Linked DNA regions of Nothobranchius furzeri. The protein of the gene in region 3 interacts with the protein of the main gene of each other region in a biochemical or structural test. Links are inferred from orthologs where the notes say so. Each region holds a gene or a part of one and is shown on either strand. Other genes may lie near its edges. The genes, in order: sntb1, sntb2, dgkzb and snta1.

Region 1 (5,352 bases), on a different chromosome or scaffold from region 3:
CCACCATAGTCCTATCTGAGGGTTGTGTTCACAGCATGCTCCAACACAGTTTGGCACAAAAAAAAAAAAAAAAACAGAGAGAATTCTGCAGAAGCTTGACATAAAAGTCCTGCGAATGCTCACAGATGTTTTCATTTACCCGGGAGCTGAGATAGCGTATCTCCAATAGGAATGACACGCGGAATGAACACAAACGGGAGTAGAAGAAGTGTTTCCGCTCAACAACCACATCAGATCGCTTGTTAAATCTAGATTTTTACATTTAAAGAAGCTGGCAAAGCCAATCCTGTCCCAGGATTATTCCACGCCTTTGTTACGACTCGGCTGCACTAATGCTATGGTCTTCATGTAGGACTAAGTGACACCTGCATCTCTCAGCTTCGGAGAGTACAACATGCTGCTGCCCACCTCTTAACCAGAACAGGGAAGCTTGATCACATCTCCTTTGTTCTGTATTCTTTGCACTAATTCCTTTTAGGATTCATTTAAAAATTATTTTATGTGCTTTTAAATCTCCTCATTTCCCCACCATACCTTACTTAAGCGTCTACACCCATATATCTCCTCCCGTTCCCTCAGGCCAGCTGATCAGCTGCTCCTGACTGTCCCAAAGACGAAGCACCAGCTTAGACGAGATTGAGCTTTTGCTGCAGCAGCTCCTAGATTGTGGAAAGACCTTCCTTTAAATATCCGACAGGCCTCTTAAATGTCTGATAAACCACTGCTGAAGACCCACCTCATCTCTCTGGTTTTGACACCATCCGAGATGTCGGCTTTAACTGCATTTTATTTGTTTGTTTTCAACCCTATTTGATTCTGCTCAGTTTATCGTTTTTACTTTCTTGCTGTTTTTTTATTCTAGGTTCTGGTTTTATTGTTGATTCTGTTGTTTTTATTGTTCTGTGTACAGCACTTTGGTCCTTCAGGTGCTTTAGTGCTATAAAGTTGTTATGGAATGGTTCTTAACTACTCACACCAATGGTACTACTACTACTACTACTACTACTATTACTGCTGCTGCTGCTGCTAGATACTTACCAGCCTTGACAGGCTTTCAGCCACCAGAGTCAAATGTCATACACAACCACCAAGCTGCAGAAGTTTGTTTTGAGTTAAAATTTGCAGAAGTTCACAAAACTCCATCACGCTAATTAGAGAATGCATTTTTCACCTGAATCGGTGCAAAGTTGACCAGGAGTTAGATGATGAATGATAGAGAAACTAAACAGACAACAAAAAGGTAAAGCTGTGACGCATGCTGCCTCCCAGATAGAAGAATCTGAGGTGAACCCGACTTTTCCACAAAGGAGGAGGGACCCAGGGGAGGAAAAACATTTCCCAGGACGGTCCGTGCTGAATGAGGCCGGCCACGAGGGAAGAGTGGGGATATTTTGCCGCAATTCTCTAAACGACCAATACTCTGTACCAAACAGCACGAGCTGATGCTTAAATATCATTCTTTCCTATAAATAGTAAGTGCTTTGTCTGCATCCTCCATTTGGCTGTCACATTATATCTCAAACCCCGCTCCGTCTCCCGGGATGTGGGAGTCTGTATGTAAGCATGATGCTTTATATTGTAGATTTAGGATTTCTTGACCTAAGGCAGTGCTTAGCGCTGTGGCCTCAAATCTCCCCGGATGGTTTATGTCACTGAAAGCTGGAACGCGCTTATAGGAGGCGTAGCTCAATCCAGCAAAGTGACCTGGTGCAAATCCCTGTGAGCTTTTCTGCTTCTGTGCATCTGAAGCAATATTAAAAACATCCGTTTTGATGAACCTGAACAACGATTGTCTCGAGACTCACTTGTTGTGACTTCTTTGATCATCTCAGCTGATGAGTGGCATCCGTTGACTATGTGCCTGGTCCAAAGGGACAGATCCTTGGTGGTCTCAGCTCGGAAAAGGTGACTTTCAATGCCAAGTCGTGTGCCGGTCCGAGTGGCGAAGAACAGCTCCGTGCCGGAGTGAGGTGAACCCCGGTCAGGCCCGGAGTGGACAAGGCTACATTCATCCATTCACACATTTGATGAGGAGAAGCAGGAAAACATTTTTCAGCACACATAATCAGCTTTTTTTGTTTTGGACTCACCGTGTGGCTAAAAGTGGAAAGGTGTGTGCCGGGCTCTGCCAGGCCTCTTTTCCTCTCGGTAAGCTGTCGTACAGCAACAGGTCTTTCTCCGTCACCACCACCAGCACCGGCTTCCAGCTCTGTTTCTCACTCTCCGTCTGCGACACAAACAGATCAACAATGAGGAGGGAACAGCTGCTCCCATCCTCCCATCTGCTGAGTAATGAAGGGCTTTGATTCAAATGAAAACTGAAATAAACAAATAAATAAAATGCTCTTTCTTCTGGTCAGTGGTTTTATTAACAGATTAGTTCACTGGATAGTGAGATGAAACAAAACTTGCCAAAGCCTGTAGAAAGCCTCCTGTTTGCTTAAATGGGTTACTGTTTCACTTTATTAAAGTGGTTACAGAACTCCTAGCGTGTGTGTGTGTGTGTGCGTGCGTGCGTATGTAACTGTTACTTTAATAGTCATTACAAAATTCACAGGGGAGAGACATTTCTTCCCATTTGCAAATCAAATTTGAGCATAGAGGCCTAACAAAGACAAAAACACTTGAAAGGTCCTCGACAAATGAATAATTATAACCAAACACATGACAAAGCAATGCCGAGAGATTAACCAAACAATTTATCCTGGCAGGTCACTTGTTTTGAATTTGATTACTTTCCTGCAGCACAGTCTGAAGTACGCTCTTTTATATTTTTTCACAAACACTTAAATCAGAGAGAGGGCTGGTGATGTGTGTGTGTGTGTGTGTGTGTGTGTGTGTGTGTGTGTGTGTGTGTTTGGTGTGCAAAATGTGTGTCGGTTCCACCAAAACATGTATTTAAATTCACTATTGTGTATCCAAAAGGGAATGAGCTAAAAAGGAAGGTGTTCAGATGCAGTTATACTTATGCATCTGCTGTGCTGTGCCCCCTCACTCACTCACCTACAAGCGTACCACTTACACACACACACGCGGGCGCGCGCACACACACACACACACACACACACACACACACACACACACACACACACACACGTGTAAACACACACAAAAAGAGGCACATTCATGCGTTTTTTTATGTGACAATGCTGCAGAAGTATTCTCATAATGAGAGCTTATCTGGAATCCTAAGCTGCTCTTTGAAGTTCTGCCTCAACCAATCACACTCTGAGATTCAGAAGGTTAAGGGTCATCGTTTTAACATAACGAGGATATGTTGCTAAGTAACAGTATTGTACCGCATTTGGAGGATAAAGTATCGGCAAATGCGTGAGGACTAAATTAAACAGATATAGGTGTGTGTGTGTGTGTGTGTGTGTGTGTGTGTGTGTGTGTGTGTGTTTGCACAGGTGTTTTATTATGTACAAAGGAGTGAAGCTCTATCTGTCTGTGCTTGCTTGTGTGAAGCATGCAACCCATGATGCAACCACACATGCACATATACAAGCATGGATTATTTCCCCTATTTACACAATAAAAAAACAATGTTGAATCCAAAAATACAAATTCTTTAAGGCACACAGCTGACATGGACTGAACTGTAAATTATATGATAAAATTAGCTATTTCTCTAAAACAGCCGGATTTGAAAAGTCCTTCATTTGCTGCAGTTTGCAAAAGGTTTTAAAATATGCTGCACTTGTAACTCAGTCAATGAAAAGAAATAGCTAAACACAGATCATGCATGCTGTATCTAAATAAGACTGACATTAGAGAATTTAAGCCACTAAATACATTTAAAATCAACACAAATATGTGAAAATATAAGAAGATGCAATAATGTGACTAAAAGTAATGTTTATTTTAAATCTTGAAAAAAGAACACAATATTTTATTAAAGATATTATACAGTTACTTAGCTGCCCTATTTTAAGTCTTAAGGGAGCCCATGATCATACCTATTACCAATGGAGAGCGTTTCATTGACCTCTGTTGTTGCCAACAAAGGTTATGTTACAAAGTATTGAGTTGAATTTTTGTTATTGACCAAATACTTATTTTCCACCCTGATTTACAAATAAATTCTTTAAAAATCCTGCCATTTGAATTCATAGATTTTTTTTCACATTCTGTCTCTCACAGTTGAAGTGTACCTATGATGAAAATTACTGACCTCTGTCATCATTTTAAGTGGGACAACTTGCACAATCGGTGGCTGACTAAATACTTTGTTGCCCCACTGTATAGAGGTTAAAAAGCACTGGGCCTAGAATTGAACCCTGAGGCACACCGCATGTGATGCTGTGGACCCCGGAGCCACAGTGTACAGGAGTATGCAGGAAATGGGCTACAGGTGCCGCATTCCCCAGGTCAAGCCACGAGAAACAGCGTCAGAAGCGCCTGACCTGGGCTACAGAGAAGCAGCACTGGACTGTTGCTCAGTGGTCCAAAGTACTTTTTTCAGATGAAAGCAAATTTTGCATGTCATTCAGAAATCAAGGTGCCAGAGTCTGGAGGAAGACTGGGCAGAGGGAAATGCCAAAATGCCTGAAGTCCAGTGTCAAGTACCCACAGTCAGTGATGGTCTGGGGTGCCACGTCAGCTGCTGGTGTTGGTCCACTGTGTTTTATCAAGGGCAGGGTCAGTGCAGCTAGCTATCAGGAGATGCTTCCATCTGCTGAAAAGCTTTATGGAGATGAAGATTTCATTTTTCAGCACGACCTGGCACCTGCTCACAGTGCCAAAGCCACTGCTAAATGGTTTACTGACCATGGTGTTACTGCGCTCAACTGGCCTGCCAACTTTCCTGACCTGAACCCCGTAGAGAATCTGTGGGATATTGTGAAGAGAAAGTTGAGAGACGCAAGACCCAACACTCTGGATGAGCTTAAGGCCGCTATCGAAGCATCCTGGGCCTCCATAACACCTCAGCAGTGCCACAGGCTGATTGCCTCCATGCCACGCCGCATTGAAGCAGTCATTTCTGCAAAAGGATTCCCGACCAAGTATTGAGTGCATAACTGAACATAATTATTTGAAGGTCGACATTTTTTTGTATTATAAACACTTTTCTTTTATTGGTTGGATGAAATATGCTAATTTTTTGAGATAGGAATTTTGGGTTTTCATGAGCTGTATGCCAAAATCATCAATATTATAAACAATAAAAGGCTTGAACTACTCCAGTTGTGTGTAATGAATCTAATATATATGAAAGTCTCATGTTTATCAGTACATTACAGACAATAATGAACTTTATCACAATATGCACATTTTTTGAGAAGGACGTATATTGGCCTTAAGAATTGGCTTTAGATATCAGCCATCGGCAACAAAATCCTTTGAAAATCG
Region 2 (5,411 bases), about 6.0 Mb from region 3:
TACACCGACACGCACCACAGCCAGATGCCGTAAAGCAGCCTCCGCCTCCCAGACAAACAGAAGAAGACGCCGCATGGCTACATTGCAATTTCCCACGCGAGTTGTCTCCGATCCAAGTTTTGTCTGCCAAATAAATAAACAAAAACATAAACAGCGAATTTGGGAGGCGCTTCACAGCCCAACTTAATTAGCATACCAAGTCCGACACGTAGTTGTATATTCACGCTTATGTGCTTAAAGGAAACTCCCGTTTATTGCAACCCGGACTTAATTTCTAGCATGCAGTACGTTTGTTTACTCACGCTGACAACTTTGGTGCTGCTTGGATTCCCCGGGGTATTTAGATCCATCGCCGAATCGCCGTCAGCGTATATCCATATAACGGGTGCGGATGGGCACCCATGTGCAGCCTCGAAATAAGACATTATCTGCACCAAGACATCTTCATGTCGAAAGGTTTTGTTAGGAATCATTAACGTGATTCCCCTGTTCGTTTGGAGCGGGTCTGGTCTGGGATTTCTAGGCGTGAACAGACTAGCTGCGGCTAATCTAACCGGCGCTTTTAATGACGTCACTGCCGCTCGCCAATCTGTTTTTATTAAGATTACCGGTAGATGTACCTTTGTCCTACTGTGGAGAAATTCGTTTTCTCCCTTTATTGACCAACAGAGTTGTTCAAAAGTACAGAACAAAACATATGGCATTACATCTTATAACAAAAATGCACCTTAAACAGAGTTTAAGCAGCAAAACATCACTCTGCAAATAGTGTCTATATAGTGAGACAATTCATGATTTAAAGTGTTTTTGTATGCACGTTTTAAAAAATGCTGATACTTGAAAGGTTTAAGCACTTTACACACTTAATTCTTAACATTTAATTTTTGCAATATAAATTGAGGAATGTTATTTTTTGAATAAACGTGTTCAATAAATTGGTGTTTTTAAATAGTATCAAAATCGAGTATCGAGTTTTTTTTCCAGTATCGAATCGAGTTTGAAATTTTAGTATCGTGACAACCCTACGCTGCTGTAAAAAAAGTGAGGCGCGAACCGGAAAAGCTTCTGCCGATCACAATTCAACAACGGATTACGAAAGAACGGAAAACGCTCGAAACGCGCGGATTCTTCCTGATGTAAGAGGTGAGTCTCTGCTTTGTTTTGGTTGTTTTGGCGTCGACATCATCCTAGCGCGCAACGTTCTGTCACTCTTAAAAAAACAGTAAAAACGGTGAGAAACGCTGGCAGCGAATGAGTTAAAATAAAGTGTAATTTAGGGAACTTTCATTTTAAGCAAATCAACAAGACTGCTTGCTTCATGCCAGAAGGCCAAGATGAAGGACTGGATTCAACAAAGTAGCAGTTGTAGTTTTTACTAAAGCGAAACAAACCCGCTTTAATGAAACTAAATCAGAATAAGGACACGTTCAGCAACTTTTTTTTTGCACACGTGACGAGCATTTACCTAAAATGTTATGTGCACTTTCAAAATGCACACGGATGGAAGTTTGACTAATGTCCATTTCTATTAAACACATCTTTATTTCTCAGAATATCTCCAGAAAACCCCCAACTTTCCATTAGTTATTTGTGTATTTACCTGATGAATATCATTCGGTAAGCCAGATTATATTTTCTTTGCGAGTTTAAAATGTATTTGGCCATAAATAGAATCATCCACAGCCAATCAGAAATGAGATTACAATCATTGATGTCAAAGATAAAACGTAAAAACAGAGAAGCCCTTTATTATTTTATGGGCTTTTTGGTGCATTTACACAAAAACAAATCTCATCTGGTCACGTTTGCTGCGGCCTCTTATCTCCAACAAGCCCGTCGTTCAAACATCCAGAGTGAAATGTATCTGGTCCTGACCACAACTCTGGTTGCACTCGTGTTTACACCAACCAAAGGCTTTGTGTTGATTTGATTTGATTTAAGCTCACTTCTGCTGCTCATAGATCAACACAGACCGTGTTTGTTTGGGTCTGAATTCTAACGTGTAAAGCAAACACGCCTGGCTTTGGGAAGCTGCAAACGAGATGAACGTGTGTGACAGCTATTCATGAAGGATCAGCTGACTTACGTCACACTGGTAACTTGTTGAGTTTGGAATATTTTATTATAGTTTGTAGCTGAATTGTTATTTGAGGCATACCTTTAGTGTTTAAAGAGTAACTGAAGTGACACTGATGCCAGCGCATGGATGTGACAGGGATAGGTGTGCAGTCGGACCTCTGGAGGCCTTTTCAAAACCGCGCTCTCGCGTTGGCCAACTCACCCTCCAGCGTCACCTCTTTCCCCGCCTTCTTGAGCGCCTGGACCGCCATGTCATGCGTTGCCTCCCGGAGCTCGGTCCCGTTCACCGACAGGATTGCGTCGCCCACCCGGAGAGCCCGGCTCTGGTCTGCAGCGAGTCCAGGGAAGATCTTGGAGATGAGGATGGGCATCCGGTTCTCGCGCCCCCCTTTGATACTGATCCCCAGCCCGCCAGACTCTTGTTTAACTACTCGGACTTTACGCACAGCTTCGGAGGACCCGTCCAGGCTGACCGGGAAATCGCCTTGTCTCGACCCAAAGCTTGACCCTGGACTACCGTAACTAGAGCCGGGGCTTCCGAAGTCAGAGTTTGTGCCGTTAATCGGGTACTTTCCAGGGCTGTACTGGCCGCGGTTGACGCCTCCTCGACCCGGGCTGCTACTGCGCCCTCGCACCCCGTGGTTCTGAAGCTGGTCTTGACCTGAGGACGAACGGCGGCCAGGGATCCCCACACTCGTTCCCGGATCATTTCCGTTCGACATGCCATTTCGCAGGCCAGCCGAAGAGCAGTCCCAGTGGTTGCCCGCCTGTCCGGTCACCTCCGATTCGGCTGTTAGAGTCAGCGTCTCCCGTGTGAGTTCTGCAGCCACTCGGATCCAGCGGTCCCGAAGCAGAAGGTCCAGCTGACCATTTTTATCCGCTCTGGTCCAAATTGCCATTCCTGGACTGTCGTTAGCCTGCTCCGAGGCGGGCCGCCGCTACTCTAAACTCATCGTCAACTTTTTCCTCTCTTTTTTTGTGAGTGCGCACAAGCGGCAGCACTGGCTCGCATCGACACACCCACTCCCGCCGAGGAGAGGGAGAGAGGGGGGAGAAACACGGGACTCCCACAAAACAGGGGGAGGAGGAGAAGCGGCTGCTACGGGGCAGCCTCGGAGGTCTTGCTGAGGAGTTCAATCCGATTCCGTAAAGCTGTCCAACCTCACCGGAAAGCTAGCATAGCTACAACAAAGACACATCCGTTTAGGCCTTTCAAAATAAAACAATGTAGCCCATATTACACTCTCGATGTGTGTGTGTGTGTGTGTGTGTGTGTGTGTGTGTGTGTGTGTGTGTGTGTGTGTGTGTGTGTGTGTGTGTGTGTGTTATCATGATTTGTGGTCCTGTGTGTAATAGGTGTAATATGAGCAAGAATATTTTATTTAGAATAAATTGTTTTGCTAATGGTTTATAAACGCAATTACTAATATACGGAATGCATCAAGGGCGTAGGAACCGGGGGTGGGGGGTGGGGGGGACGTGTCCCCTCCAATATTGGACAAACGCGCATTTGTCCCCCCCAATAACACGGAGAAGAAAAAAATTGATTTTGAAATATTTGACTCGTGAGCTTTTATTTTGAAAGACGCTGCAGACTTCTCACTGACACAGCCCCTCCCCTCAGGGAGTTAGACAGGAGCGGGACCTGGACGACAACAGCTTCTTCTCATGGGCAATAAGAGAAAGAAAGGAATTGTGACTCGGTAATAATTTAGTCCAAGAGGATAATTGTATTTCTGGTCAAACGTTAGACTGGCTGACTAACGTAAACATCTTGCTAGGCAGCATTAAACGTTAAACAACACTACTAGTCAACAAAAAATGGCGAATTTAACACGATTTTACAGTAACAGACAAAAACCATTTGACACGAAATAAATAAAGTAGAATCTCCACATAAAAATGGAGTTTGTAAATGTGATTGTTGCTTGTTTGTGACATTCTCATCACATTTTATTTTTAAACCTTATTCATGTCACTTTTTTCATATGAGAGACCAGAGGAAGTTCAGCAGCAAAATGATGAAGAAGGTGAGACAGGCAGTGCCAGACCTGCTGAGGGTGAGACAGGCAGAGCCATACCTGCTGAGGGTGAGACAGGCAGCGCCAGTCCTGCTGAGGGTGAGACGGGGAGAGCCATACCTGCTGAGGGTGAGACAGGGAGAGCCATACCTGCTGAGGGTGAGACAGGGAGAGTCATACCTGCTGAGGGTGAGACAGGGAGCACCAGACCTGCTGAGGGTGAGACAGGGAGAGCCATACCTGCTGAGGGTGAGACAGGGAGAGCCATACCTGCTGAGGGTGAGACAGGGAGAGCCATACCTGCTGAGGGTGAGACAGGGAGCACCAGACCTGCTGAGGTGCAGGTAGGTGCTACAATGAAGAGTGAGATTTTAGATGGTTGATGATGAGAGGAAGATTCGAGCATGATAACAAGTGAACACGACTAAATAACACTATAACAACCATGATTTTAATGTTGCACTAGTCCTCCAACAGTAATGTCCACTGTTTTTGTACTAGAGATCAGAGGAAGTTCAGCAGGAACCTCCTGAGGGTGAGACAGGCAGGGCCAGGCCTGCTGAGGGTGAGACAGGCAGGGCCAGTCCTGCTGAGGGTGAGACAGGGAGAGCCATACCTGCTGAGGGTGAGACAGGGAGAGCCATACCTGCTGAGGGTGAGACAGAGAGAGCCATACCTGCTGAGGGTGAGACAGGCAGAGCCAGTCCTGCTGAGGGTGAGACAGGCAGAGCCAGTCCTGCTGAGGGTGAGACAGGGAGAGCCATACCTGCTGAGGGTGAGACAGGGAGAGCCAGTCCTGCTGAGGGTGAGACAGGCAGAGCCAGTCCTGCTGAGGGTGAGACAGGCAGAGCCAGTCCTGCTGAGGGTGAGACAGGGAGAGCCAGTCCTGCTGAGGGTGAGACAGGCAGAGCCAGTCCTGCTGAGGGTGAGACAGGCAGAGCCAGTCCTGCTGAGGGTGAGACAGGGAGAGCCAGACCTGCTGAGGTGCTACAGTGAAGAGTGAGATGGTTTTAGGTTGCTGATGAGAGGAAGACTTGGGTGTGATAATAAGTGAACACAGTTGAATGTATTTAATCCCATAACAAGTAGAGCTGGGCAGCACGGTTTATGAATAAAATAAATGCTTCCTTAGAAATATTAGAAAAATAAGTGTTAAACTCTGCATTCTGGTGCATCTAGACTGCAGTTTTGGCCACTGTTTTTTCTTTTGTCCGTCAGATGATGAATGTAGTTCCAGCTGCTGCTGTGAGTGAATTATTTCTTTTTCATTCTGTCAGAAGCAAACAGATTGTTCTGATTGTTGGTCAGCAC
Region 3 (5,880 bases):
CTGGTGGTTTGTTTGGATCATTGAAAAAAAGTAATTTATTCTGGGTAAGACCATCATTTTAATTGTAGCAACCCTCCCCATGAGTGATATCGGTAAGGATTTCCCTCTTGCAAGATCATCTTCCACTTTCTTTAAAAGTGGGATGTAGTTTAGTTTGGTTAGATCTGCCAACTTGGGAGAGACATTCATTCCCAGGTATGTGATATTCCCTGACTCCAATTGTGTATTAAGCAAATTGACAAAAGAGAACTTGAATGGTAGAACTGTTGATTTTAACTAGTTTATAGAGTAATCTGAAACTGTTGAAAAAGAGTTTATCAGTTCTATTGCTTGAGAGAGAGGACTGAGAATTCTGGAGAAAAAGTAACATCATCTGCATAAAGATTGATTTTATGGTCTATGTTCTTACACTTTATGCCATTAATACCTGTTGTTTGGCTGATTGCTGCTGCTAGTGGTTTGATAAATATAGCAAACTGTGAGGGGGAGAGTGGGCATCCCTGCCTGGTCCCCCGCTGAAGACAGAAGCTAGCTGATATTTGGTCGTTTGTCCTGACACATGCAGTTGGCGAACTGTATAATGTTTGTAGCCAGTTTATGAAGAAGTTCCTAAACCAAATTTATGTAAAGTTGCAAATAAGACCTTCCAGTTAACCCCATCAAAAGCCTTTTCTGCATCTAGAGATAATATACTAGTTTCTATGTTTCTACTGCAAGAGAAATCTATCAAATTAAGTAATCTACGTGAGTTTGTGGATGACTGTCTACCCTTAATGAAACCAGTTTGGTCAGGGTGTTTTATGAAAGGGGTTACCCTCTCTAATCTTTTTGCCAGGGCTTTACAAATTATTTTGAGATCAATATTAATATGGGAAATTGGGCGATAAATGGAAGGAAATGCAGGGTCTTTGCCTGGTTTTAACAAGACTAATATTGGCTGAATTCATGTTTGGCTGTAATCTGCCGCTCTCTCAGATTTCCCTCACCATTCTGAAGAATGTTGGAGCCAGAATGATCCAGAATTCTTTATAGAACTCTGCTGGGAAAACGTCTGTAACTTCTGCTGGTTACTTACAGTCCAGTCGATGTTACTGTTGGGCTGCAGCAGGTCCGTCTGTCCCAATGTAGACATGTTGGGCTGAATGTTCTGAAGACTCGACTTGGTGATCGCTTTCCTGCAAAGAGAAAAAAACATCTTAAACATTTAATTCTGTCAGTTATTGTAAAAAATCTAATTTAACACAAAACAATCAGGTTAAATGTAAGCGGTCCAGTTTGGCTTTAGAGTTTGTTCATAACTAAATGAATCTGCTTCCATGATTAAAACCTGCAGCTTTGTTCTTATTCAAATTTAAAGTTTGAGAGTTTAAGTTTTTTTTATTAAATAATCTGATGTTTTATCTAAAGGTCTTTAGTTTTGATCCTTTTTAGATGATTTTGCACAAAATAAACGAGGAAAATTCAAACGTGTTGATATGGATAAGCTGAGTTTGTGGTATGAAGAAAACACGAGATCATATTTAAAAGACCCACGCTTACGAAATCGTGTTTTTGACATATTCTTGAGACATTTTTCTTATGCTACAGGTCACATCTAAAGAAATTTAAGCTCAAAATTGTATTTCTGAGTATTTCTGCATTCAAACCGCTGTGAATCAGCAGAAGATGGAAAAAAAGCAGCCTAAAACTAACAGGGTGATGTCACAACCCCAGTGGGTGGAGCACAAACTCCGCTCTGCTCCATCGGGTTCTGAAGAGTATTAACATTCAAATGTCAAATGGATAGCTCAGCTAGTCAGACACCTGACTCAGACGCAGAGGACCAGAGTTTATCAGCACTTCTGCAAAGGCTCGTTCCCACCCGCTCTCTTCTCTCTGGTGACCACGTATTATTGGTGGTCCCTCAATCCAGATGCAAGTCGAGGGGAGATCGTGCTTTTGCAGTCCTTGCTGCAACTTTGTGGAACAGTCTACCTTTGACTGTTAGGCTGGCACCTTCCTTTCAGATGTTTAAAGCCACGTCTGAAGGCCCATTATTATGTCCAGGCATTTTCACCACTAGGCTCTGTAATTTTGTCTTGGTTTTAATTGTTGTGTTTTACCTGTTTTTATGCCGTTTTTACTGTTTTTATTTATTTGTAAATGATAAATGACCCACACTTGTATAGCGCCTCTCAGAGTAAGGACTCCAAAGCGCTTTACCGTACAGTGTATCATTCATCCATTCACACACTGATGGTGATGAGCTACGATGTAGCCACAGCTGCCTTGGGGCGCACCGACAGAGGCTAATCTTTTGGTTGTGTTTATTTTTCGATTGCTTTGTACTGTTGTGCTCGGCACCTTGGGCGTCTGCTAAAGGTCGTGGAAGGTGCTCCATAAATGAATAAATGAAATGATTAATAATAATAAAATAATGACAATAAAAATAATAATAAAGTCATGACAATAATATTATAAATAAAAAATATAATAATGAAAAGAATATTAAGTTATTTATAATAATTGTCATAACAAAGAAATGACTATTATATAAATGATTATGAAGATAATCATGAAAAAATATTAATAAATTTTGACGTTAAAACAAATTTACGTTTTGTTCTTTCTTTAATTCAAATTGAAAAAAATCAACTTTCATCCTCTAAGCCTGAACATCCAATCAAAATCTGTTTCTAGATGTGGAACAGTAGGCGGAGCCTGATTGTTTAAAGGGAACATGTAAAGAACCTTCGTGTGTTTTATGGTTATTTTTCAGACGATGACACCCTGCTGATGCTTCATTAGAACCAGAACCACATGTTCTGACCCGTGGACTGAGTGAGACGAGCAGCAGTGGGACTACATACAGCAGGAGAGCACTCAAGCTGGTTTCATAGCCATGGGCCCCCAGGGGGCTGAGGGCCCCATGGCCCCTGTAGAAGGCTGGATGATGGAGGTAGTACACAGAGTGCTTGCGGCCCCTCCCTGGCCATGGGCTCCCGGCTTTGGAGATGGTGGAGATCTTCCTCCTCTTCATCTGACTGGAGGCTTGATGGCAGGAGGAGTTCCTGCGGAGGCAGCGAGGGGCCCGGAGCAGGGGCCGTGACTGAGAGACAACCTGGGGCGGGTTCCTTAGCACCTGCAAGGAGCAGACGGAGGAGGGGATGGAGGCTGGATAGGCAAGGAATCGGGAAGAGTCAGTCTCTTCTTCTGGCAGTTGCTCTGCCTCAGACAGCTGGCTGCTTTCCGATTGGCTGCTGTTGGGGGAGTAATTGTCACTGTCTTCACCTCTGTCGTATAGGAGGCTGCTGGAGCATGAAAATGATCCCTCATTATTAGCCCCGCCTCTAACTTCCACTTGCTGCTCTCCAGTCGATAACCCCGGCCCCAGCGCACCTTCACCCTCCTCCTCCTCAGCCATCCGGATCAGGCTGGCGAGCAGCATGGACGGACCCAGCAGATGGGTGTCGATGGTCTGCAGCTTCCTCACCTTCCTGCGCTGCACAGCAAACCTCGGGTTCAGGGAGGGGGTGGTGGTGCTGGAGCGCCTGCGGACAGGTCTCACCCTGCCGTGATGAGGCGTTGTCGCCAGGTCACCGCCGCCAGCACAGGGAAGCCCTGGATGAATCTGGATGCTAGAGCGGCGCCGCTGGGTCAAAGCAGAGGAAGGAAGACCAGCGCTGGACCTCCGACGAGCCTTGCTGGTAGGGACAGCAACGCTGGGCCTCCGCTGGCGGCGGGTGGGGGCGTCCATCTCCCCCTGCAGCGCTGCTTCCTTCCTCTTAAAGTGACGACAGAAAAACGTTTCCATGTTGGTTTCAGAGGCAAATCCAAACGACCCGGACTGTGGAAGGTTCTTCTGTGCTGTTGGAGCAGAAATCCGTTAGCCTAAAAGGTTCAAAGGTCACAAGCTCAGTTTTACAAGTACGAGTTTTTTTTATATAATTCCATTGAAGAGCGGCTGAAATTTTATTAGAACTTTTGTCAAATTCAGGTTATTTCAGTGACCATTGTAGGTTTTTCTGTCACACACACACACACACACACACACACACACACACACACACACACACACACACACACACACACACACACACACACACACACACACACACTTCCATCAGAACCTCTGAGGAAGTCACCAGAGCTGAGACCAGAACCAGCTGGATACGTGGACCACCAGAACCACTCTCTGGGTTTAAACAGCAGAACTCACACACTGGGTTGGACTGAACCCATTTCTGCTTTCCCACTTCCTGCAGGCGAGAACCCATTTAGGAAACAGAACTTCTGGCTCTCAGAACCATTGGTGGGTTTGTCTCTTGTGACGGAGTGAGGACCGTCTTCTGGTACCGTGACATCTGATTCGTTTAAGCTGCTAGGACCAAGGCAACATGAATTATTGATCGCCAACAGGAAGTGTGGCAGCAGAAGCACTGTGACAACAGGAAGCGGTCATCGACCAGCAACAACAACAGTACTCAGACACCTGCTGCCTTCCAACACCGTGTCAGCTGTCAGATGGATTTAGAACCCAACTCACATGTCTACTTAATTTTCGGCAGGTGACTCAGTCCCGGTTCTGACCCGGATCTGTTCAGGATTTTTTCAAGAAACTTTACAATTCATGAAAAACCAGGAGAACAAGCTGTTCACTTCCTGTTTACGTTCTGCTTTAACACCTTACAGAACACAACCAGACCTCCCAGAACAACCCAGGTGTGCTGGACCCGGTCTCAGGTGGTTCTGGAGCAGAACTAGTTTAGAGGATTACCCAGGCTTTAGGGAGACAACTGTTATAGGTCTTCACTCTGTCATCAGTGGGTTGCTGGTTCAAACCCAGGGTGTCAGGCACTGTGTCCTTGGGCAAGACACACACACACACACATTCAGATTCACACCCACACGCATGCATGCACACACACACAAGCACACACACACACACATTCAGATTCACACCCACATACATGCATGCACACACACTCATGCTCACACACACACACACACACACACACACACACACACACACACACACACACGTAAACTTCTGCTGTCTCCAATATTTTAGAATTTGAATAAACTTTTCTTGAGTTTGTCGTCTGATTTCTAAACCGGCCCAAAAGTCACCCCAAGGCCCGGTTTTGCTCTATTCGCGGTTCTGAGTAGGAAGCCTCTCTACTCAGCAGCAACGCAAGCTGATTTCTGACAAACATTCATCCAGACTCAAAAAATAAAAGTTGGTTCTGTGTGAAACTAACAGATTAAATAAAGGTTTGTGATTGAATTTAAAGCAACAACAACAACGACAACAGAATCTCAGCTGAATACAACCTGAAGCAGCGATGTCGTAGAGATGAAAGGTAAATCCTCACTGAGGCTCTCTCTCTCTCTCTCTCTCTCTCTCTCTCTCTCTCTCTCTCTCTCTCTCTCTCTCTCTCTCTCTCTCTCTCTCTCTCCCTTCCCTTCCCAGATCACTTCAGCACCAGGGCCTCTCTCTCTCTTCCCAGATCACTTCAGCACCAGGGCCTGAGATGAATGGACCCGCTCTGATGAACAGAACCTCCTCATTAACACATCAAGGGCCATCAGCTGCTGCATTATGGATCCAATTACCCAGAGATGGGGACAGGACGCCGTTTTCTGACTCATCTTTGTCTTCTGCTGGACACCTTTGTTCCTACCAGACTCCGAACCCACTCAGCTCAGCCTGGTCCAGAACTTGTCTGATTATGTTGTCTATCTGAGCATCGCCATGGAGACCATCCTCTCAAACTGAAACCATCAAGGTTTCCAGGACAATCCCAGACCTGTTTCAGGTTCCAACCCCCAAACTGCTAGAGATCTGAAACCAGCAGGAAGTCCATCTGCTTGGACCTGCTCAGCCCACTGGAACCTGGT
Region 4 (5,269 bases), on a different chromosome or scaffold from region 3:
ATGGTCCAGAGAGACCTGTTCTGGCTGTGTTGACAGAGAAGGACCTGCTCCTGTATCCAGCCTTTCCTGAAAGCAAAGAGATTATGATCAATCCCACCAAGAGACACCCACTCATCACCACCAGGTCCACACACACACATACCAGTCTCACCTACACACACACGCCCATGTTTTTATAGCAGATCTGTTTCCGCCTATAAGCATTTAAATTTTTTCCACTGGTTGGTTTTGGCCATAGGGTTCGTGCTCACACTTTCCATAACTGTAATCCTGAACATTTTGTCCAACAGCATCATCATCATTTGGAAAACGTTAATGTTAGCAGAACCTATGAGTCATGTATATTTTCCCTTCTATCTCTCAGTTTCACATTTTCCACCTCTAAACAGTTTTCTTCATCTCTAATCCCTAATTATTGTCTCTCTCTCAACCACAGTCTGGTGATATTTTCTTCTTTCTTCCTAAAGGTTGGTCCACTCCGGCCCAGGAAAAAGTTCTCCTCTTTTGGACTCTGAGCTGTCGTTCGGTCTGCGTTCGGGCACCAAGCAGGGCGTGGAGACGCACGTGTTCAGAGTGGGTTCTGCTAAGGAGCTGTCCACCTGGACTCATCTGCTGGTGGAGGGTTGCCACAACGCTGCTGAGCTCATCAAGGAGGTCACTGCAGGTGAACAGATCCGGTCAGAAATAGGTCTCTCTGCATTCATGCTCGGATTGCTCCCCCTAACTAATATAGGTCCAACGCAGGGGTCTACAACCTGCGGCTCTGGAACCACGAGTGGCTCTCTGGACCTTCCACTACGCCTCTTAATAACTTTGACAAAAAAATGATAAAAAAAGGAAATAAAAATCGTCGTCGTCTTCCTCCGCCTATCCGGGTCCGGGTCGCGGGGGCAGCATCCCAACTAGGGAGCCCCAGACCGTCCTCTCCCCTACCACCTCCACCAGTGGCAGGACCCCAAGGCGTTCCCGGACCAGATTGGAGATGTAACCTCTCCAACATGTCCTGGGTCGACCCGGGGGCCTCCTGCCGTCAGGACATGCCCGAAACACCTCCCCAGGGAGGCATCCAGGAGGCATCCTGATCAGATGCCCAAATCACCTCAACTGACTCCTTTTGATCCGGAGGAGCAGCGGTTCTACTCCCGAGTCCCTCCCGAATGTCCGAGCTCCTCACCCTATCTCTAAGGCTGAGCCCGGCCACCCTACGGAGGAAACTCATTTCGGCCGCTTGTATCCGCGATCTCGTTCTTTCGGTCATTACCCAAAGCTCATGACCATAGGTGAGGATTGGGACGTAGATCGACCGGTATATCGAGAGCCTGGCTTTCTGGCTCAGCTCCCTCTTTACCACGACAGATCGGGTCAGCGTTCGCATCACTGCAGATGCTGAACCAATCCGCCTGTTGATCTCCCGATCCCTCCTACCCTCACTCGTGAACAAGACCCCAAGATACTTAAACTCCTCCACTTGAGGTAGGACCTCTCCCCCGACCCGGAGTTGGCAAGCCACCCTTTTCCGGTCGAGAACCATGGTCTCAGATTTGGAGGTGCTGATCCTCATCCCAGCCGCTTCACACTCGGCCATGAACCTACCCAGCAAGAGCTGAAGGACAGAGCTGGATGAAGCTAGGAGGACCACATCATCCGCAAAAAGCAGAGAAAAGATTCTCCTGCCACCAAACTCGACACACTCCACACCACGGCTGCGCCTAGAAATTCTGTCCATAAAGGTAATGAACAGAACCGGTGACAAAGGCAGCCCTGGCGGAGTCCAACCCTCACCGAGAAGAGGTCCGACTTACTACCGGCTATGCGGACCAAACTCACGCTCCTCTGGTAAAGGGAACGAATGGCCCTTAACAGAAAGCCACCCACCCCATACTCCTGGAGCGTCCCCCACAGGGTGCCCCTGGGGACACGGTCATTAGCCTTCTCCAAATCCACAAAGCACATGTGGATTGGTTGGGCAAACTCCCATGCCCCCTCCATCACCCTTGCAAGGGTATAGAGCTGGTCCACAGTTCCACGGCCAGGACGAAAACCACATTGCTCCTCCTCTATCTGAGATTCAACTATCGATCGGACCCTCCTCTCCAGTACCTTGGAGTAGACCTTTCCAGGGAGGCTGACGAGTGTGATCCCCCTATAGTTGGAACACACCCTCTGGTCACCCTTCTTAAAGATGGGGACCACCACCCCGGTCTGCCACTCCACAGGAACTGCCCCCGATGACCACGCAATGTTGCAGAGACGTGTCAACCACGACAGCCCTACAGCATCCATAGCCTTGAGATACCCAGGACGAACCTCATCCGCCCCCGGGCTCCTCCGCTGTGTAGTTGTTTGACTACCTCAGCAACTTCTGCCCCAGAGATTGGACAGTCCATCCCCACTCCCCCGGCTCTGGCTCCTCCTCGGAATGCGTGTAGGTGGGATTGAGGAGCTTATCAAAGTTTTCCTTCCACCGCCCAACTAGTCTGTAGTCGGAAATAAAAATAAAATACTTTATTTGTCTGATATCAAAAAAGTTAAAGAAATGTGTAATCAACAGGGCTGTACCACACTGATGGTTTAAAAAAACTGGTTTTCGCTTTTTTCATGGAAAATTGCACTGAATTACTACAATGGAATGACAAAAAGACCAGTAGTTTTTTCAGGATAGAACTATTTATTTTTAAAGAATGACAAAAGTTCTCGAGAGGAGCCAGTTTAGTTGCATATGATTAGGATGTCTCCTGGATGCCTTTTTTGGTGAGGTGTTTGAAGCACATCCAACCGGGAGGAGACCTAAAGGAAGACCCAGGACATGCTGGAGGAGGAAGAAGAAGAAAATATCATTTCTATAGCGCCTCTCAAGATAAAAATCACGAGGCGCTCAGGAGGGACTATGTCTCTCAGCTGGCCAGGGAGCGCCTTAGGATTCCCCTGGGGGAGCTGGCCCAGGTGGCTGGGGAGAGGGAAATCTGGGCCTCTCTGCTTAGGCTGCTGCCCCCGTGACCCGACTCCAGAGAAGTGGACAGAAATGGATGGAGGGGCAAAAACTTCCCTGTAGTAGATTTTAAGAGAAGAGGATGAGGGCTACTCAAAAAGGTACAATTCTGATGATAATGTCAGCATTCTAACTTTGTTTTTAGTGTTTGTTTTCCAGTGGCCCTATATCTCTTGCGTAGATTTTTATCAAACGGTTTTCTCTTTGCAAAAGATCCTATAACAGTTGTGGTTCTAAACGAGTTATGTTTTGGTTGACTGAGGGGGAATGGGCTCTTTGGATTGTGAAGGTTTCAGTTCCTGGTCTAACCCACAGAACAAAATGATTTAAAGAAAATTCAAGTCCCATCCAAACATATTTGCCTGTTTGTACTGAACAGCTCTGCAGCACAGTTATTCGGACCTATTAGAGGTGCAGCGGTCAACCTACATAGCCTGGCAGCAATGTTGTTTTACTGCCACCTGCTGGTATTATTAGGCAACACAAGCACTTTTTACACTAACTGGTTTGACTTTGGTGTGGTGGAGGTTTTGATTCAAAAGCATTTGAAACTTTCTTGCAATAGAAATGAATTAGAATTTTTAGCATGATAAAATAAAACATAGAAGTGATTTGGAACATGTTGAATACTTGTTGAACTTTTATAAAACTGCTGTCTTTGCTCTCCACTGCAGACTGCAGCTGGAACGGAAAGGACTGCACTCTGGGAGTCCACATCAATGACGGTTTCACGCTATTCACAGAAGAAATGGGTGTCAGGAAGAATATTCTCCTCCAGCAGCCCTTCGAGCGCCTCCGAATGTCCTCGGATGATGGAGTTCGGATGATGTTCCTGGACTTTGGAGGCCCTGAGGCTGAGATTGTGAGCTGCCTCTTCTTGAATTTCATTAACATTATAATAGTGCAGTTAAAGCACGAAGAGTGAGATGCTAGACTGGAAATGTCAAACCTGAGAGGAGGATTGTGACTGGAGACAATCTGCTAAACTGATTTACACAGACACAGTGCATGTCGGGAAAAAATGAGTGTGAACCGTTGAGACGTGGTGATAGTGTCGCTAATATTTCATCATTTGTCGTGTTCAGTAATTAACTTTGTAGTACTCCATGTAGAGGTGTTAGCATTGCTAATGGAGTCAATAGAAGGTGCTAAAATCCACAGCACGGTGATTCTTAGACATGTAGAAAACCCTATAATAGCCAGTGGCTCGAGTCCTCTGACTGTTTAAAAAAATAAAATTAGCAAAAATAAAAGACCAAACACAAATGTTAAAGATGCAGCTCAATTTTAATTGGCTGCAGTGATACTAGAACCCTTAAATTTCCATCATACAGGTTTGTTAGTACAATTAAAAGCCAGTGGAAATAAACTGGTTTTAAGAGATTTGAAATGGTCAGTTTGAGATTATGAGGCGTGTAACTAGCAATCACAGACTTGCATTAATTTCTGTTTGAGTCCATGTTATGAGACAAATGATGTTGTTTACACCGAATCAGCCAAAGCCTGCTCTTCTCTAAACAGTGAACAACATAGTGATGCAGTGCAGTGGTTCACAACCTTTTTTACACCAGGAGCCCCTTGCCTGGGTGTTTAATCTTGTTAACCTCACAGACAAAATTATGGGGACCCCAGCAATCTTATGAAACCCCCATTAGGAAGTAGGGTTGTCACGGTGTGAAAATTTAATCTCACTGTTATTGTGACCAAAATTATCACGGTTTTCGGTATTATCGCAGTATTTTTTTAAATGCGTTACATTTTCAGACAATTAAATAAACCATATATCAGGAAAATTTTGTCCTCAGTTTGTGTCTAAATGTTGTCAAAAATTTGTTATTTTGTAATTATGTTGTTTGTTTACATTTTTCCTCTTTAGTCTTTAAAATACCAATATTTGCCCATAACTTCTTATTTTTTGTCTGTTTGATGTCATCATTTTAAAAATATTAGATCAGATGATACTCAGTACTCAAGTGGCCTTCTAATCAGATACTTTTTTACCCTTACTTGAGTAATAAACCCTATAACAGGAAAATATTGTCCTCGGCTTGAGTCCTTCCAGTGAGATTTGCAGATTTGGGAAAATGTCATCAGGCAGTAATCATTGTTAAATTCATAATTATTCTCGGAGAGAGACCAACTCTCATCTGCCCCTGGGAGCCTCATAATGCATAGCGTCATTTCAATATGGCGGTGTCCGCGGCACGGTTTATATGCAGGTAGCGGCGCTGCGGCTGCTTTATATAGTGACTCGTTGCATTCTCCCTCAACCCAAATCCT

Evidence for each region.
Region 1: the proteins of dgkzb (region 3) and sntb1 form a complex in vitro, tested with the Homo sapiens proteins (2 studies listed by BioGRID and IntAct, with this or other methods). The link is inferred for Nothobranchius furzeri from reciprocal best matches to the Homo sapiens genes DGKZ and SNTB1.
Region 2: the proteins of dgkzb (region 3) and sntb2 form a complex in vitro, tested with the Homo sapiens proteins (2 studies listed by BioGRID and IntAct, with this or other methods). The link is inferred for Nothobranchius furzeri from reciprocal best matches to the Homo sapiens genes DGKZ and SNTB2.
Region 4: the proteins of dgkzb (region 3) and snta1 form a complex in vitro, tested with the Homo sapiens proteins (2 studies listed by BioGRID and IntAct, with this or other methods). The link is inferred for Nothobranchius furzeri from reciprocal best matches to the Homo sapiens genes DGKZ and SNTA1.

What each region holds. Positions count from the first base shown.
Region 1 is NC_091745.1:41,748,474-41,753,825, forward strand, and holds part of sntb1 (beta-1-syntrophin), read right to left. Parts: intron 2,228-5,352; coding exon 2,091-2,227; intron 2,003-2,090; coding exon 1,806-2,002; intron 1-1,805. UniProt on the Homo sapiens protein: Adapter protein that binds to and probably organizes the subcellular localization of a variety of membrane proteins. May link various receptors to the actin cytoskeleton and the dystrophin glycoprotein complex.
Region 2 is NC_091744.1:86,308,936-86,314,346, reverse strand, and holds the start of sntb2 (beta-2-syntrophin), read right to left. Parts: upstream 3,122-5,411; 5' UTR 2,979-3,121; coding exon 2,282-2,978; intron 1-2,281. UniProt on the Homo sapiens protein: Adapter protein that binds to and probably organizes the subcellular localization of a variety of membrane proteins. May link various receptors to the actin cytoskeleton and the dystrophin glycoprotein complex.
Region 3 is NC_091744.1:80,269,450-80,275,329, reverse strand, and holds the start of dgkzb (diacylglycerol kinase zeta), read right to left. Parts: upstream 3,876-5,880; 5' UTR 3,794-3,875; coding exon 2,850-3,793; intron 1,176-2,849; coding exon 1,076-1,175; intron 1-1,075. UniProt on the Homo sapiens protein: Diacylglycerol kinase that converts diacylglycerol/DAG into phosphatidic acid/phosphatidate/PA and regulates the respective levels of these two bioactive lipids.
Region 4 is NC_091743.1:60,427,066-60,432,334, forward strand, and holds part of snta1 (alpha-1-syntrophin), read left to right. Parts: coding exon 1-124; intron 125-467; coding exon 468-664; intron 665-3,663; coding exon 3,664-3,851; intron 3,852-5,269. UniProt on the Homo sapiens protein: Adapter protein that binds to and probably organizes the subcellular localization of a variety of membrane proteins. May link various receptors to the actin cytoskeleton and the extracellular matrix via the dystrophin glycoprotein complex.